Drosophila melanogaster: one gene and its partners. The protein of the gene in region 1 interacts with the protein of each later gene in a biochemical or structural test. Each region holds a gene or a part of one and is shown in the gene's direction. Other genes may lie near its edges.

Region 1 (7,957 bases):
CAAGCACTTTGACCAGGCCCGCAATGTTCTCGAAAGCATTCAAAACCCAGATCAGGAGGTAAGTCAATGGTAGTTCTGAATTGGTTTTCCTGGATTAAAATGCGTTTCGTTTAATTTCAGATGCTGGACCTCCTGCAAATCGCACGGACTAACTTTGTGGTGATGAATGTGCTGGCTCGCGGTCACCAGAAGGAAGTCAAGCGGCAGCCAGAGTTCGACTTCTCCAAACACAGCTACTTCCCCATCATCAAGCTGAAGTAAATGTTCACGTGTTTCGTAATTGACAAGAATAAAATTTAAATGTACGCATTTTAATGTCAACTCTGATCCTCCGCCACAATGTCCTGCTTGATGAGAAGCTCCTCCACGTAGCCGTCGATGGGGCAGCTTTTGGCGCAAGTGTAGACGGCCAGGACGCCCCAGTCGAGGTTTTCGTCCTCCAGAAGAGTCAGCGCTTGCGGCATAATCTGAAATTCGAACTGACGCTCTCCTCCGCAAGCAATGCAATTGGGCAGCTTGTTAAGTTGGTCCTCCACCGTTTTGACGGTATTCGTGATCCAGAGGGGCTGGCCTCCACGTTTGTAGCGCACGATCTGATCGGGTTCGGCTGCTGTTTGCTTTTTGAACTGACGAAAGGTCTTGTCATCGGCGGCCGCCGAGTTTCCGAAGTACTTGTCCATCTCCGCCTCGGAAACATTGCTCAAGTCGCCCGTCTTCCCGCTGGACTCCAGCTCCTGGAACTCCGCCAAGCGAGCCTCATCGTCCTTGTCCTCCTCGCCAGACTCCACGGGGTTGCTGTCCATTACAATCTCAAATTCTGGGAAAACGATTTGTGTTAAGGGCTTCTCAGTGGCTACTTCTGGTGCTCCGCAGTTTGGCTTGTGTTGTGGCCAGTGGGCCCTTTGATGCTCTGGTGAGCAGTAGTGGATTGCCTTGCATTTGCTGCAGGCGTGAGGAGCATGGCAACCGCAGGCGGCGCATAGTTTCTTTAGGCAGGGAACGGCGGGCTAAGAAAACATATTATGATGAGTATGTTCTGAAAATATGGCTGCTGTTCCTACCAGGGGTTGACCCACGTCGCTCGGCTCCTCCTCCGAAAAGAACTTATTTTTTCGCGGCAACTGTGACCTGAGGACTGTGAAATTGCTGGAAAGATGGGTAAGATTAGGTTGCAAGTTGGTTTTCAGAGCTAGAAGGGATTACCTTGCATTTTGGGCCTCCTGGCAGTCGGAATTCCGGCACAGGAACACATAGATGGACCGATGAAAGTTGTACTCGTCTTCGAAGGGAGCGTATAGCTGAGCCAGGAAGGATTTGGGTGCCCTGCACTTGCTGCACTGCAGCTGCGACGTGGGCGGCAAGGCCTCCAGTTCCAGCCATGCGGGCTGGCCTCCCAGCTTGCTGGGAAAGTAGCGGTTGCTCAGCCAGGCGCCATTGTCGCTCTTTTCCGCAAATCCCAAGTCAATCTCCATTTCTTTCAATCTCCGAAACGAAACTCGTGTTCAGTGTGACCGCAGCGGGAGCGCCAGAAAATACCTCTACAAATTCCGAAATAACGTTGTATAATAACTGATATTTTCGGGGAATCACACTTTTTGGGTGTTATAATTTAAAATTTAAATTAATTACATTCGTTTAATTTGTTGATTTCGGCAGTTCAATAAAATAAAATATTCTTTTCTTCATTGAATATTTGCGATTACTCTTATAAACATAAGGGGGAAACATAAGATTTTAATTTAATGACATTAATCTGGAAGAATAACAAATCTCATTATCCTGAGCCCTTAAAAATGGCAAGCGGTTCAAAATTATAGAGCGAGGATTAATCAGATAAGGCCCCTCTTCTACGCCACTGATAATAAAGCTTGCATGCCATGGATTTGGTATTTTCCGCGAGTTCCTCCATGGCGATTTCCCAGATTTTGGCCACTTCAGTATGCGGTTATTTCTCACGGTTAAAAGTTCTGCTCTCCGAGTTGATTAAACTGGCTAAAGTGATATTTTATTTACTGTTGTGATAAACGCGTGTGAAAAACAAAGACTTTCCATTGCCCGCGGACACAAACGATCACGAACCGAAGAGTGAACCGCTCAGAAACGGGGGGAAAACCAGTTTTCCCACGATTTGATGTGATTGTGAAAGCGCAACGAGATTTGTCAACGCAAACAAGCAAGAAGAAGAGCCCGTGGATAGCGTAATATTTGTTAATAATAACGGCTGCAAAAACAACAACATTGCGGAAGCAGAATCTCCGACTTGTCGCGTTTCCGTCGCAGCAGCGCTAAAAATAAACCCACCCACGCACCGCCCCCTCTCGAATCGCCAACCACCCACTCCCGCCCACCATCCACCTACCACCACCTTCCGCCCACACCCACGCACGAATTTGGAGAGGTGAACTTGTGTTGACTTTTCCAGCGCGCGGACTTTTCCGAAGAAAAATGCAAAAATGAGAGCCGAGCCACCAGCGGACCACTGGGAATTTGCGTAAGTCCAAGGCGGATGCTTCCTGGTTTCGAATTACAGGGTATCACGTGCGCTGCTGCGAGCTAGTGAACAAGAAGGCACCAGATGTTTGATGGAGTGCACATAGAGAAAAGTTTGTGTAGGAACTATTAGGTGTCCGGTACAGGGTATCTCCGCTTCGATGCCCCTGGCAGTGGCTCGCTTTCTGGCTGCCAAAGAACGAGCCGGGTGAGCTTTTATTTGCTAAATTTAGTGCCGCATTGCTGAAAATAAGAATGGGAGCACCCTGCCATCGGTTGCCGGTAGGCAGACTCATATATATGTATATGTATATGCATAATCGCCCCTGACGGCCAGTGTGTGGTTCGGTGGATCTTTGTCCAGGGCACATGGCCCGAAACTGTTGCATGGCCCATCCTCGTCCTGGCCAATCGATGCCTTCGATGCCGACTTCGACTTGGAGTGCTGCCTGAATCAATAAACGCCTCAAATCCCTGCCATATTGCGTCCATTGTAATGTCAGCACATAAATTCTCTGCCCATCGAGGGGCATTTTCACTCGGCTGCAGGCATTCGGTAGTGGTATGTACGCTATGTGTCCTGGCCAGGCAATAAATATTGAAAATTCAATTAGCAGACGGACGGGCAGCCGAAATGCTATGAATTTATCACCACCTGAGTGCGAATGTGCCTGTGGTACTCATAGTAAATAAGTAACTTCATTGCCATTCGGCCCACTCCACTTGCTCCACCTGCATGCTGGCTATTGATTTTAATCCGCCCTGCAATCATCTTGCTTCATTTGGCCGCTGAATTTATGGGTTCCCACGAAAGCTCCACTTTCTTCGGCCCGCTTTCCCATTTCCCCCACTTCACATTCCCATTCCCACCAACAATGTGTGCTGTTTCGGCGCTGGAAAACATTAATTAAAATTCACTGGACTGGGAAAGCTATCAGTTGCATGCATATTCAATTGATTCATTATTACAGGACATCATACATGTAATGCTCAGCTCATTAATCGGTTGACAGTGCGTTCCTTCGACTGACTGTTTAAATTCCCATTTCAATATTGTTGTTAACTAGTAGTATGTATGTACGTACATATGTACATATGCTTATGTACGACTTGAACCCAAGCAACTAAATAGGAAATTGTCAGTATGTGTAGCGTCGAAATTATTGCATAAGTAAATAAATTATAGAGGATGAGAAGGGAAGTCAGTTTATGTGGCTTGCATAAGTTTGTTTTGATATATTTGATAATTATACGCTTATCACTGCCAATGTTGTTCTCTCCGCACACCGCGTTTATTCGACTCCTCTTGTCACCACTTCGCCGTTTGCTCAGTTGCACTACACTTGTTTATCCACGCCCGCCTTGCTGCTCATTCGCATTCTGATTGGAGCGCCGAACGCCAAGTGAGTCACTCCCCAAGGTTGCTCAGCGTAGTGCCTCTCCGGTGTTCTCAGTATCGAATGCCAAAGGCCAATGGACGATCTCTGGCTCCACGATAGCCGATATCAATATCGAGTTAGCCAGTCAAGTGGCTCGGTTCTCCGGCTGGCGAGGGGGGAGATAAGGGCAAGCGATGCAATCGCGAGGCTTCTGGGTTCCTATCGAGCACTTGTGGGCTTTCCTTCGGGTCAGCGAGCAGATGATACCCAGTTGGGAGTAGTATTTGCCAGGTAAAGCTCATAGATAGTAAAGGGCTGGAGCTTGCTTTCCGGTTATCTATTATCATCACAACAAGTGAGCTCCATTATTGCGCTCACTTTATTTACTCTACTTATTTTCGCGTATATTAGGTAAGCCTGGAAATTGTACATGATTAGCATTTCTGACCTTATGACTCACCGAAGCAAAGCTACGAGCAGCCCCACATTTAGTTGATTTCTATACAATTCGCTATCTTTTATTTCAAAAATAAACCTTAGATTAGATACGCCTTTGCAAATAAACAAAGTATGCTGCAGAGTCTTCCTGGATCTCCACCTAGCAATCATAATAAAGGGCTTCCAGTTGGTTTGAAACCCCATAGATGGACTCTACTTAGTGTTTGGTCATGGTGATAGTTTTAGCTTTGTAATTTCTATTAACAAAAAAAAATTTGTATTTATTGTAAACGAAATCCCCTGAAACAGCTTTTCTCCCAGCCAATGAATCAGCTTCCACTGCATCGGGGAGCACAGTAGACGTAATCACAAGTGAGCTTTTTGTTGTCAACTGTTTTTGTCCGCGAGGGGCAAGTACTGGTTGCTTAGGTGCTCCGCTGGCTGGGAGGAAACTGATAAGGACTCGGGAATGCCACTATCGATGACGGGCCCCAATGGAGCCTATTGTTTGCTCTTATCTGTCCAGTTATTGTTACTCCATTCGAGCCCAGTTGGTTGTTTATTTGTTTGTTTGCTGCATGCCGCGACGGCGTGCGTCATGCGGGGAAGGATGTGATTCTGGTGATTCATGCCAGAGAAGTGCATCCCCACCCAACCCCTGGTGGAAAATCAATAGCCATGGTGGCGCGCTCTGGGCTCTCGAGATGTTCGCCGTAGTGTAACCTTGTGTTCTTGTTTTGCAGGAGCCGGAGGCGCCTTGAATGAGAGTCCTTAGCCCGAGATGTCGGATTTCGTGCCGCACGACCTCATCCCCGATCTGTGGGATGAGATTCTCCGGCGCCACTGGATGTTTCTCGAGACGGAGGAGAGCATAGAGAAGCTCGAGGAACGCAAGCAGCTGGAGGGTGAGTTCGCCGCCTTGTCCTTGTCCTAAATGGAAATGGAACTAATCAATCCGCGCTTACAGGCTGCCTGAAGGAGTTCCTCTGCGTGGTGCAGCACGATCGCAAGTTCTTTCTGCCGGAAACTGGGCATGTCCTGCGGAGGTCTGTGCTCGAGCTGCCCGACTTTTCGGCCCAGAACGCCATCGTAGCCTTCGAGACCATCAGCCAGTATGCCAACAATCTGTTTACGAAGCCATGGCGAAAGGAGTATCGAACTCTCAAGGTGGATATAGGATGATGACGTATACTAAATAGCCACTTCTAACTGAATAATCCTCCTTTCTGCAGACCTATTCGGGATGCTTTCAGCACGACATCCAATCCCGCCTGCTGGACGCCGAACAGCTCTTCCTGGCCATGGGCTATCGCCGGGCTGCCGAGGACACCTTCGTCCTCGAGGGTCCCATCTGTCCGGATCAGGTTACGAATGTTTCGCGCGACGCAATGGCCGCCTACGTGGAGTGCCAGATTATGAAGCACATCTACGCGGGAGTGACGGCAGCGGGATACGTCTGCACTTGGAAGGACATCCTACAGTTCCGCGAGCGTTACGTGGGTGGAACTTCCACGACCATCAAGGAGATGGTCAGGCAGCTGAGTGAGAAACGGGTACGAATGGAGCAGCCACCGATGCAGGAGAATACATATAGCAATGTGGTGAGTGCTGCTCCAACTGCCTGCGGCATGCGCAGCAACAACGTTGCCCATCATCCCAGCAGTTCCGGCACTTGTGCCCTGCATCCCAATGGGCTGAACGAGGCGGGTAAGTATCTGCCGCCTTACCCAGCGCCTCCGCCGCAGCAACCGCACCTGCCTGGTCCGCTGATGACGCATTCTCGCAGCCTGGATCACTACCAGGAACCGCAGGCCCATCTGCCTCACCGTCACTCCTTCGATCAGCAGCTCCAACAGCAGTGCCAGCTGCCGCACGTCTACGAGGCGCCCTATGACTGCTTAGATGGCCTGAGCATGGGCAGCAGTGCGTCCTACGCTGCCGTGACTGGAGCCTACAATGCACCGGGAAACCGCTATCCGCTGCCGTACAACATCTCCAGCCAGCTGAATGCCCCGTATGCGTCGCCCGCCGACTTCTATGGCAATGGACAGCACACCAACATGTACGCCACGCTGGGAAAGACGGGCCCAGCCCACAGCTGCGATTTGCACCGTCGCCAGCCGAACACTTCTGCTGCTGCCGCTGCTGCCTTGGCGGCTATGCAGCACCGTCAGAGCACCTATCCGCCGGATCACCACCTCATCGACTTTGACGAGCGAGCGCATCTGACCCAGCATGACTTTGGGACGCATGACTACGATCCGCAGTATGCCGAGCTGAGAGGTCAGGTGCAGCCTAGCATGCGGGGGAATCCGGTAGCCATGTATGCCACCTACGGGGGCTACGACCTGCCCACCACGCTACCGCAAGCGCCGCCGCCGACCGGCCAGGATATGTACATCTATGCGCGGCCGGTTCCGAAGAGCAGCCGTATGCGGGCTTTGGCCGAGGCGGGTGGCATTAATTCGACTGACAAACATCCGCGATCAGCGGAAAAGCAAGTAAGTTCTAACAACATCATCATACTTATATAATGGTTACATATCGTTGCCTACTCCTTTTAACAGAGCACCATGGACAATAATCGCAAGATGCACAAGGAATTGAAGGAGCGGAATAGTCGGACTGCACCGGCCAAGAGGTCCGGCACTGAACGTGATATACCCACCACCATTTCGGACTTGAACAGTTACGACTCGGCTAGTCTGGACGGATTTGTGGCCCTGGACAGTAGTAGCTCGCCGCCTCTCATGCCCAAAGTGCAGGAGGGTGTCGGCAGTTTCGAGTCCTGGAACTATGTATTCAAGAACCTCGAGCGATCGGGCTACACAAAGGACCTGGGTGACCGCGAGGACTTGCTGGTGCAGAGCTTGGACCTAGGCTCGCTGTCCATAACGAACGGCGGTGCAGCTCCTCCGGCGGAGAAGCGCCGTGAGGCCACGAATCCCACAAACGGAGAGAAGGCGCGAACGCTAGATAAAAAATCCGGTACGGGGCGACGCGAGGCTAAGGTGGTGCAAGCTCCTGCACCCAGTCCTCTGCCCAATAGCAGCAGTGCCGGCGTTAAGAAGGTCAAGTCCGCCTTGAAGACGGCCGTCGTGGACAATCGGGGAACCGGGTCAAGGCAACGCACAGGAGCTGTGCCCAAGCAGCCGCCGAATGTGTCTCCCCAGCTGATTGTGACCAGTCCGAACGAGTGGAGCTGCAGCTTCTGCACGTTCCTCAATCCGGACACGAAGCGCATCTGCGAGATGTGCTGCCGCAGCAAGGACTTCAACCTGGAGGCCGCATCGGCGGCTTCCTCCTCGGCGGCTGCAGCTGCGGCGTCAGCGGCCAGTGTGTCGCACGCATCCTCGACCTGCGTGTAGGATGCAGTGGATGCAACGGAACCCTCGTTAGTGATACAAACAGTGTATAGCTTCATATATTTTTTATACGACCAATGTAAGCCTGTGCGCGTGTCTCTAAGATCTAGTCTCGATCGAAGTCGTCGTTCGATGGCAGGCAGCCCTTTGTCATCCGCATTCGGCTCCTTGGATGAGCGGATGGCGCTGCAGACGGGATGGGTCTGCAGTCTGTACATACGAAGTATTCTAATTAGTTACCCCTACTCGTAAACACACGCTTTAATTAGTTTTAGATTGTTTCCC
Region 2 (6,230 bases), on another chromosome or scaffold:
ACAGGTGCTAATGGCCATTAAAAACGCTAATGACCACAAGCACTGAGCAAAAAAGGGAATACATTTCAATCACAAATGAGGTTGAGATTGATGGATAAGGATGCACGTTGGAAAAATATTGAAATAAAGCGGCATTAAAGAATATGCGCATTAATGCTGTTAAGAAATCAGCAATATTTGCTCATATAGATGATGGATTTCGTCATATACATAATTCTCATATGTCTTCTTTTCAAAAAAAAGTGAAAGTAATTTCGAAAAAATTCAGAGATGCGAACGTGGTTCCTTTGGAAATGAAAACATTTGACCCAATTTTTGTGCATTATTAGTTTTGCTTAAAACGCAGTTGCCTCTTTCATGTTTCTAACCCAACTCTAGAAAATTATCGCGAGTACATCAGTTTCTTTGAAATGAAAAAACTAAACTAAGTACTACGTTTCATAGCTTCATCTACATACAGTTCTTTGTTTTGGTTTTTTTTTTGGTTGTGTGTAGTGGGAGGGGGGTTGGGTGGTGTTCTACGGGCGAACACCTTCACCCTGGGGAATCGGGAATTCTCGTGGCGTAGAGAACAAAGGACAAAGACTTGCAGTCTTCTGGCATTAAACCCACCGCATCCGCCTGCTCATCGAAGACCTCCGAGACCAACTGCGTAAGTGAGAGAACAGAGACAAAGGAAACAAATTAACTGGTGTTCGCCAAGGAGCCATGGTGCACTTACCGCGTGAACCTTGAGGAAATCGCGCAGCGATCGCTGGCAGTAGATGATGTCGTTCTTCAGCTCCAGCGGCAGCACGTAGTACTTCTCCATGTAGTACCTGAACTTGGCGTACTTGCGCTCCTTATGGTACTTGCTCATCTTGTTCCGATTATATTGACGCTATATATATAACGACGGTTATCGTACGAATCACGCACGCGACTGATTTCGGATGCGTTGCAATTGATGCACTTGTGGGAATTTTGGGCAAATTTTCGAAAGGGAGTGGGGTGGGAATTGAAACCGAATGTGGTTAGAAAATGTGATAGATTGATCACTACATTCGTAACTGATATCTGGCCGAGGAACTTCGCAATTTAAGATAAAAATGTGTTGCATCAACTGGTGGCGTTGCCAGATAGATGAATACATGTGCTCGTTCTCGTAGCGAATTTTTAATCTTAATATGCGTTTAATTATGAATTTGGAGAAATAAGGACGATGTGCGTCAATAACTTCGATGACGGAACGGTGGAATTTTTGAACATGGGGAAGTTTTTTAAAAATTAATTTTTCGTTATTTAGTGTTCCAAAATGCACGCAAGACCATCAAATTAGCGTCGATGAGTTAGAGTCGATGGCGGAACGGTGAAATTTTTGAACATTGGAAAGTTTTTTATTATTTTTTTTTTTTTTATGGGTCAAAATATGAACAAGCCTATACAAAAAAGTACCCATGAAAGTCATTTATGTTTGGTGTTGTTGACAGAGCGTGTTCCGGAATGCCGTGCTTATAGGCTTATGTAGGCCTAATTAAGTAATGATCCTTAAAAAATTCATCAAAAATTTATCTACAGTTTTGCAGAAAATCGTCTACAAGTGGAAGGAGTTTAAATGCCACCTTCTCCAGTACTACAGCCAATAAATATCATGAACCGCCCTATTAACGATAAGAGTTCTCCGCTGACTTTATTTTATTATTATTTATTTTATTACATTGCACTATTATTTATATTTATTATTTAACTCAGCTCACAGAGCGTATTCCGTCGTACGGCATCTCAAAAGTTTCGTAATTTTATTTATTATTTATTCAAAAAGTTTCATTACAATTTGATAGACAGTTTTTTTTTTTGTTACTACACGTGTTCTGTATATCTACTAAGCCATATATTTAATATATTATATTAAATAATTGCAAATGGTGTGGATGGTATATAAGTAAGCGCCAGAATTTGGAACCTCTCTATGCTCGCACGGTCACACTGGCCGATAACGAAAACATCGAGGCAACAGCTATACTTCATTTATCACTCAAATCTGGCAGCACTGCATTGTGTTTCGGCAAAAAAGAAAGTTGTGGTTTTCTAGGAATTTCGAGCAAAATGTAAGTAGAACTACAAAATGGGCTTTAAATTGTGTGCAAATTCGCTGCCAGCCTGGCTAATTCGCCACCGTGATGTGAATAAGTGCTGTGCGGCATGACGCCAGTGACGCCCCAAATTCGCATGCAATATGGACGACGGCGTCGCTTCGCCTGGAATTGTGTGCTTTATTCCCGACCCAGCGGCTTTTGCTGTCTGTCCACCCGGCCACCGCCCACCCGGCTTCCGGCCACCAAGTCCAGCCGGTTAACAAGCCCGATTGCCGGCTAGAGTTGTACAAAACAAGTGGCGTATAGAGCTTCCAGAGATTTCGCTGACAAAAAAAAAAGAAAAACGACGTGGTGCCGCCTCGTGCTGTTATCCCTCCTTTTCCGGCTCATGGCAAGCTCTGCAGTGGAAAAGCGCCGTCCAATTGGGACTGTCAGCTCCTCCGTACGCCACACCGAAGCAGGACAAATGTCCTTGTCCTTTGGCCATCGGAACATTCTCGCCGACTGCCATGCCATTCGCATTTTGTGAGGTTAAACATGAATCGCAAAAAAAAAAAAACGGCAATGAATTTGCTTCATGTTTCTTCTGCCGGCGGCGACGTCGGCGTCGTCGTCTGTCTGCGTCTGTTCGTCGTCCGTGTGCGTGTGCATGTGTGGGTGCGTATGTGTGTTAGAATTCGATTTGTTATTTAGAATATATAAATGCGATTGGCGATTTTCACGTGAATCGCGACTGCTGCGCTGTTCGCCAGCCAGCAAATGAGCTAAGAAAACGCTGCACTATTTGTATGTCGGCATTTTTATTTTTTGGCGCGCTTCGCAGCGTCCACAGGTTCTCACCAATACGAGTGCATGCGTGCGTGTGTGTGCTTGTAATTTGCCGGCGTTACAGGCGGCACTCAAAATAAGGAATTTTCCTGCTTTTATGGGCAGCACCAGTGGTGTGATGCGCAGGAATTTCACAATCTTGCCATCCTTAAAAAGTTACTCATTTCAGTCTCCAAAAGGAATGAGTCATCAAATGCCTTTTTCAGCGTTTTACGAAATATATCCATTCAAATTATTCACCTCATTTCAAATTGATGAAACTGATCTTGATTCATGCTGAAAATATGGTCATCTTTATTGATGAACTTGGTAGTTTGCTTTAATTCTTTTAAAAAGTACTTCTATTTGCTATATGGCCATTTCATTCAAAACCTATATTTACCAATATTTCTTCTCTATAACTTCTTAAATTTGTATATATCTTTGATTACAGTTCGCAGTAAATCATAAACAAATGTTATGCTATATACAGTACAAACACAATAACGCGATCAAGTTTCTTTAGTATGAAAATTTTGTTTACACTGCGCTTTTCTTCGAATGTTTTGAATGTCTCCAATTCTACGCTTAATATTCCGAAACTTATGCCAAGCGTTTATGCGCGCTAATTATTTGCGAACAGAAATGTCAGCATTTATTATTCACTTTGGTTTCCTATGCTCGGGTTTAAATTAGTATTACCCAGGTCAATTGTGGGTCAGAGCCGCCGTGGGTTTTCCGGGTCTCCTTTTGTGTGGCAAACTGTTTTGGGCTGCGCATAAACGTGGTGGGAATGTATGTGTGCGAGTATGCAGAGTATATCCTTCCGCCTCCCTGCCGCCTTCTTGTTGTTGTTGTTGTTTGGTGCGCCTGGCATTTCTGCTTACCTGCACACACAGCCAGCCATACCCTGTGGCCATCTCGCTCTGGCTCGGCATCTCGGCCTTCTTATCCTTGCGGGCTCAGCGGGAGCGGCAGCTGCAGTGTCCTTTGTCGTTATCCTGCTCGCTCCTCGCCGAACAGCTGGTCGCCGTCCTTGGCGGGCTTTGACGCATCCATTGTGCACGTCACATTTTGGACGGCTCGCAGGACGGGCAGTCAGTCGCCTGGCGCTCGCCGAACCAACAACATCCTAGCCAACACATTCCGCTCCTGTTCCTGTTCCTGCTCAAGCTCCGCTATATATATATATATTTAAATATATAAAGTAGCATAGTAGTTGCAAGTTGCTAACCAGCCAAACGCAATTGTTCCATCTGCAGCTCACCGTTCCAGAAATTTTGCATTAACGAAGATACCGAGTGCTTAGAAGGATGGCTCAGGAAGGTCAGGATATACCCACATTCAAGTGCGTGCTAGTCGGCGATGGCGGCACCGGCAAGACCACCTTTGTCAAGCGGCACATGACCGGTGAGTTCGAGAAGAAGTACGTGGCCACACTGGGCGTGGAGGTGCATCCATTGATCTTCCATACCAATCGTGGCGCCATCCGTTTCAATGTGTGGGATACCGCTGGCCAGGAGAAGTTCGGCGGGCTGCGCGATGGCTACTACATTCAGGGCCAGTGTGCCGTCATCATGTTCGATGTTACCTCGCGTGTCACGTACAAGAACGTGCCCAACTGGCATCGCGATCTAGTCCGCGTCTGCGAGAACATACCAATCGTCCTCTGTGGCAACAAAGTCGATATCAAGGATCGCAAGGTGAAAGCGAAGAGCATCGTCTTCCACCGAAAGAAGAACTTGCAGGTAAATAAAGAAAAGCTGAACTTTTATTTGAAATTTTGTTAACGTTATTGTGCTTGTGCCTTCTTTTTTGTCAAACAGTATTACGATATTTCTGCCAAATCGAACTACAACTTCGAGAAACCATTCCTTTGGCTGGCGCGCAAGCTGGTTGGTGATCCCAACCTGGAGTTTGTCGCCATGCCAGCCCTGCTGCCGCCCGAGGTTAAGATGGATAAGGATTGGCAGGCGCAGATCGAGCGTGACTTGCAGGAGGCCCAGGCGACCGCACTGCCCGACGAGGACGAGGAGCTATAAGCCTATTTGTAGTTAACTTAGAGCGAAATCCGACTTGCGCGAAAACACAAACACACACACACTCAAACACAAAACCACAACACACAACACCACACCGAACATAGAACACTGAATCACAGGCACCGTATGAAAAGGCGTGGCAAGAGGGAATGAAGGATTACGGATTAGAGGAAGTAGCATTAGCAGTAGTGTACTATCCGTACACTATTGGATTTGCCAGCCTATGTTCTTCGATCGATCGTTGGGAAAATCTACAAACAAGCCCTTCTTAATACGTCGATTGTATTTAAATTTTAGATCCCCAATTCATTAATAAGTCGGTTATAATTGATTTTTTTTTTGTTTGTTTCCTTATACGTTGGCTCTTGGAAAAAAAGGAGTAAGTAAGTAGTATTGTCATTAAAGTGCTAAAGCAGCAGGCAACAGCAACTTAATCGAAAACCAAGAGAAATAAATAGTCGCAGAACGTATTTTTTTAAAACTTGCAACACCAATGTTCTTTTCCACCCAAAAAAAAAAAGGAAGAAAAAACCAAGTTACTTCAACAAAAGTGTGAATGTTAGAAACGAGCGAGACGGCATGCTCGGAGCGAGCGAGAGCGCAATAGCTGGCCAATGAACTGAGTCCCCCCAAAGGAAAATTAATACTATTGAAAAAAGAAAAGAAAGGAAAACACTGGAAACTATGAGAAAATAACCTATAGACAGGCCGCCGAATTCGCATCCACATGTTATTAATCTAAGAACTAAAGAAATAAAAAATAAACGTCGAAGAAAAAAAAACTAAACGAACGGAGCTGGATTTGCATTTGAAAGATGATAAGGAAATGATGCTAGATTATAGTTATCGCATACCCTGTAATTGAATGGGTAGCACATATATTCCGTTAGCTAATCGTCTACTGTTTACATTTCTACATTTGAATACACTGTTCTTAATGAAACTCCTCGGATTTAGGGACACTTGAGGCAGCAGGCAGGGAAAACTCCGGTGAAGCGATCCTTGTTGCCGCAGGTGACCTTCTGCTGTCCACAGCTGAAAAAAAGATATTGTAGATGGCTTGGTTAGAATCATGTGGAGATCGGGGCAAAGTTCAGCTAGGAAATATTTTGTTTTCTTCATGCAACCTAAGTTGCTAATTAAGATCGCTGTCATGATGCACTTACTCCTCCACGATGGTCTTGAAGGTGTCCGTGCAGATGGCCCGCTTGAGGCACTTGCCATCCTTGCCGAAGTCCACGTAGTCCTGTCCGCGTCTCAGCAGCGGCAGATACTTGAGAAAGATGGTCTCATCCTCCGAGTTGCG
Region 3 (4,695 bases), on another chromosome or scaffold:
CTTCACCCTGGGAATTGCCACCCGTGAGTAAAGAAGAATGTGTTGTTTGTTTAAAAAAAGACTCATAAATTATGGCTATCACGTTTGTTGTTTGCATACAAAGTGGTCGAAAGCCAGAATGCATAATTCAGTTAGAAGAGTCGATCTGATATTAAATATATGATATACTTATATGAAAGCAGAAACCACCATGGGCAGCGATGTAAAGGATGAAGAGAGCTTCAGGAGCAATTCCTTGCTGGGGCGATACCAATGGTGAGTTTTGACTTGGAATCGGAATGCATCTATCCATTAATAGCATCCTGGAAACCATGACAGATATGTGCTTCTCTCCGTGGCTCAATAGCCGATTTTGCCGGCAGCTGGCTGGAAAGGAATCGCACTACTACCAGGCCAAAACTGAGATTCGTCAGTTTATTCGGAAGGTGAGCACCTCCAACTACTCCCTCCGCTTATTCACTTACGAATCTCTTAACCCCTTTAGATAATTGAGAGAAAGTTGGCCGAGGACGAAATGGGAGCACTACCTTCCATCCAGTCCAATGATAAAAACCTATTTCTAAATCTGGTCACGGATTTGATGAGACGAGGAGTGTTTACCCTGAAGAATGTTGAGGATGAGTCGAATATCATCGTTTTTGGAGCTTTTGAGACCACGGCTAATGCAGTGTACTACACCCTGATGTTGCTGGCGATGTTTCCGGAATACCAGGAGAGGGCCTTTGAGGAAATAAAGACGATATTCCCAAACACAGGAGACTTTGATGTATCCTACGCGGACACCCAGCAGATGGTGTACCTTGACCTGATCCTCAACGAATCCATGAGAGTAATACCCCCTGTTCCTGTCGTATCCCGACAAACGTCTCAGGATCTGAAGCTGTCCAATGGTATAGTGGTTCCCAAAGGGGTCCAGATCGCCATCGACATTTATCACATGCACAGAAGCAAAAAGATCTGGGGTCCGGATGCGGAGACCTTCAACCCAGATCATTTCCTCCCCCACAACATCCAGGACAAGCATCCGTACGCCTATATACCTTTTACCAAGGGCATTCGAAATTGCATAGGTAACAGAGTGATCGCTAATTTATGACCATTGTTTTAGCTATATTCTTATTATTTCCTTCTGTTTAGGTTGGAGATATGCCTTAATATCGGCGAAAGTTACATTAGCCAAGTTATTGCGGAATTATAGGTTTAAAACGAGTTTTCCCTTCGAAAATCTATACTTTGTTGAAGATATTACGATGAAGTTGAAATCTGTGCCACTGTTGGAGCTCCAAAAGAGAACTTAAATGTTTATAGCACTTAGTGATTTTAAATAGATTATTAAAAGTTGTTGAATTAATGGGTTCTGTGAATTATACCAATATTAAAAAATAATAACATCTACCTTTTATAATCTTTTATTAACTATTAATCAATTATTCCATTTTTTAAATTTATAGCATGATTTATGCTAACGTCTTTCGTTGAAAAGTTTAAGCAGCAATAATTATTAGTACATTTTCCGAAAATGTTGGTGTTAGCGTTTTTTTAACAAATTTCTTGTTTCATGAATTCGAATTAAAAAAATACTAAAAAAAAATACTTTGCGGATTTCCGAAGACTACTATCACACTAGCATTGACTTACAAGCCGGGCAACGAATTGAAGCATAAACAAACGATGTCGCTCACCGATGTCTTGGAATTGAACAAAACGGAGTTGTTCGCGAAGATTCGCAATGGGTTGCCCGTGGTGCAAAGGACTCAGAACCTGCTGGACTGCAAGGACGATCTGCTCTTTGCCTGGCACGCGAAGGACAGCTGTCTGTTGGTTCGCAACTGGCGCTCATCGCTGGCGGCAAAGGTGAATATCCAGTTCCAGACACTGATTCCATCGAGCTTGGTGAGCCTGGAGGTGGACCGCGTGCTGGCCTCCAACGAGGGCTCCCTCGTGGCACTAAGTGGACCGCGCGGCGTTGTCATAATGGAGCTGCCCCGCCGCTGGGGCCCCGATGGATACTACAAGGATGGCAAGCCAGTGATCACCTGCCGCACGTTCGGCCTGGACACTCAGCTTTTCCTAAAAAACCCGCACTTGGAAGTGCGCCAGGTCCGCTGGCATCCGCACTCCGTGTCAGACTCCACGCTGCTCGTGCTGCTCAACAACAACACGATTCGAGTGTACAATCACTCCAAGTTGCGCCACGTGTGGCAGGTGGGTCCCCCGGTGCTTCGAAGTGGGGCCAATAACTCGCTATGCGACTTTGGCGAGCTAGCCGTTGACTTTGACATCGCTCCTGCTGCAAAACCACGTGTCACTGAACCAGAAACAGCCGGCAATAACGAAACCACTTTGGATAAGAGCAACAAAACCCTTGTGGCGGCCAAATCGCTGCCGAAACAGGAGAGGATAGAGTGGCCCATGGTTGTGCTCCGCGAGAATGGAAACATCTACATTTTGATGACCGGCGTGGATTCGGAGAATACGCGCCTGCAGGGCCCCGTTACCATAACGCCACAGGCACATGACAATTATGGACTGGAGTCCTGTGCCCTAATGATTATCCCATCACTTCCGCCGACCATTGTTATAGCTGAATCCAATGGAAAGCTTCACCATGCTCTGCTTATGGAGGCGGAGGCCACTGAGCATTCTTTCAATGAGGTTGACGACTCTGTGTTGATTGAACCCGCCGAATACGTTGTACATGTACTAGAAACTGTCGAACTTGAGCTGGGAATATCTGCACCCGCAACTGGAAAAGAAGGAGGCAACTGTCCCATATACTTAAAGCGGGATTTGATCAATGAGCTTCGCTACTTTGCCTACCACAACGCAGGACTTCATGCCGTTACGGTCAGCTTTATCGCAGAGCTGCAACGTTACTTGGAAAGCGAGTCCGATGAAGATCGTCTAGAGCTGGCGGTCTCTGCAAGTGCAGAGTACATTCTGTGCACAAAATTCGATTCCAGTGAGACGGTGAACGCAGTCTTTGGACTTGCCCTATTACAAATTCCTGCCGGTATAGTTCTACTGCTGGGCAGCGGTCAGGTGATTAGCCTTAAGCTGGTAATTGATGCCCAGCTGTTGGTTACACCTAATGAGAATAAGCCAGTTGACTCGGAAGTGTCTCAGCAGGAAAGTGGGCCACCGTTTGTCGATACGATTAAATCGCTTTTGCAACGTAGTGTTAACCAGCCCATCTTGGCGGATAAACTTTCCTCGCCATCCGCCCAGGAGAGCTTCGAACTGCTTAACCAGGCAATCGAGGTGCTTCGTGAGCAGTACCTTAAACGACATGACCTTGTGCGCGCCGCATTTACACGCCACATCAACCAGATCCAGCTGAAGAAGGAACAACAGCTGCAGGAGATCCAAGACCTGGAGCAGGAACGCGAACTGATCAGCGAGCGGGCCCACAAGCTTGCCGAGCGCTTCGAGGAGATTAGCTACAACCAGGAGCTGCTCGTCCGCAAGTGCAACGCTCTGATGCAGAGGGCCAATGCCTCACTACCCAATAGTGTGATTGCGGAACGGGAGTTTTCGCAGGAGGTGATTCGACTTAATAAGGTCACCCAGAGCCTGGCCGCTGGACTGGAGACTGCTAAGAAGACGTTTAACAAGCAGCGCTACCACATTGCCCAGAGTCAAGAGGACCTCAAGAAGAACGCGTACGAGCTGCCGGAGAAACAGCACCGCACTATCACCGAGATACTTACCCAGCTAACCGGGGAGATCGATCGCCAGATCACCGACGTCAAGCGCATTAATAAAATCGTTGGCATCTAAATTCGGATTGGGAAGCACGCTCTTAAGATTTCACCACGTTTTCGTGATAGTAAAGCCGTTGCGTAGAACTAAAACGTATTTTTAATAAACATGTCAATTAAGTCCTATTTTCGTTAGCTGGCTTCTGTTTTTTGTATTCGATGACACTTTAATGAGCATACGTCAGCGTTTTCTGCTAGACGATCCTTCATGAAGACACAAAAACATTTGATACCCATGGGTATTGTGCTACAAAGTCTACTACAGTAAAATCTATTCTTGACGTACTGTCCCATTTTCCGGATTATAGTTCAAAAAGTAAAATAATAGTAATAAAATAATAATAAGAATAAAATAATGAATAATAATAGTAGACTTCATACATCATAATTCGGAAATACAAAGTATTGTAGTACTGCTGTAACATAGTTTTCCAACTTTCAGCTCCACTGTTATTAGAATACCACAAATTTTTCTAGTATTTGGTTTTTAAAGTATCGCATTTCGATCGTTACTCATTTTCTCTGCAAAGCAGAACCCATTGAAAACGTAATGGAAAAGCATTTGCAAGGCTAATGACACTCGCCCCAAGAATTGAGGGTTTCGATAGCTATTGCGTTTTAGTGACAGTCTAAAGCGAAGTTCGGCGGACGAGAGATGACGTTGATACTACTGGCTGCCCTGTCGAACATCTACACCGGGATGTTCAACTACGTGAAGGCCAAATTCCCGTTCGTGATCGAGGCCGCCATGGTGACCCTGTGCTTTGGCTCCATCGTGGGTCGATTCTGCATAATGGTTTAGAAGAAAACTGAGGAGACTCGAGACTGTGCGAATCGAAGGAACTTTATGTATATTTATATGGATGTGTCTTGTGGCCTTATGTGAATACAACTAAAAACTTAAATCTAAACCTGTGGCTTTTCGATCAGGTGA

What was found. Proteins that work in one complex are often made in the same cells at the same time.
Region 2: the proteins of tamo (region 1) and Ran form a complex in vitro, tested with the Drosophila melanogaster proteins (one study listed by BioGRID).
Region 3: the proteins of tamo (region 1) and mbo form a complex in vitro, tested with the Drosophila melanogaster proteins (one study listed by BioGRID).

The regions. Positions count from the first base shown.
Region 1 is NT_033778.4:24,127,531-24,135,487, reverse strand, and holds the start of tamo (tamo), read left to right. Parts: upstream 1-1,936; 5' UTR 1,937-2,491; intron 2,492-3,648; exon of another isoform or gene 3,649-3,893; intron 3,894-5,050; 5' UTR 5,051-5,088; coding exon 5,089-5,212; intron 5,213-5,274; coding exon 5,275-5,474; intron 5,475-5,539; coding exon 5,540-6,808; intron 6,809-6,874; coding exon 6,875-7,675; 3' UTR 7,676-7,957. Other genes in the region: Naa35 (N(alpha)-acetyltransferase 35), read left to right, coding at 1-58, 121-261; Zfrp8 (zinc finger protein RP-8), read right to left, coding at 318-1,007, 1,062-1,146, 1,204-1,472. UniProt on the Drosophila melanogaster protein: Has an essential role during oogenesis and embryogenesis, perhaps in modulating the levels of nuclear import of additional proteins. Modulates the nuclear import of dorsal (dl), Dif and male specific lethal 1 (msl-1).
Region 2 is NC_004354.4:11,144,343-11,150,572, reverse strand, and holds Ran (Ran), read left to right. Parts: upstream 1-1,992; 5' UTR 1,993-2,087; intron 2,088-3,976; exon of another isoform or gene 3,977-4,157; 5' UTR 4,158-4,195; coding exon 4,196-4,630; intron 4,631-4,708; coding exon 4,709-4,924; 3' UTR 4,925-5,721; downstream 5,722-6,230. Other genes in the region: Lint-1 (l(3)mbt interacting protein 1), read right to left, coding at 613-648, 722-859; CG15201 (uncharacterized protein), read right to left, coding at 5,878-5,959, 6,091-6,230.
Region 3 is NT_033777.3:12,675,978-12,680,672, reverse strand, and holds mbo (members only), read left to right. Parts: upstream 1-1,620; 5' UTR 1,621-1,671; coding exon 1,672-3,780; 3' UTR 3,781-4,186; downstream 4,187-4,695. Other genes in the region: Cyp313a4 (cytochrome P450 313a4), read left to right, coding at 1-23, 183-255, 299-425, 485-1,070, 1,138-1,298; CG43630 (uncharacterized protein), read left to right, coding at 4,417-4,563; Gnmt (glycine N-methyltransferase), read right to left, coding at 4,668-4,695.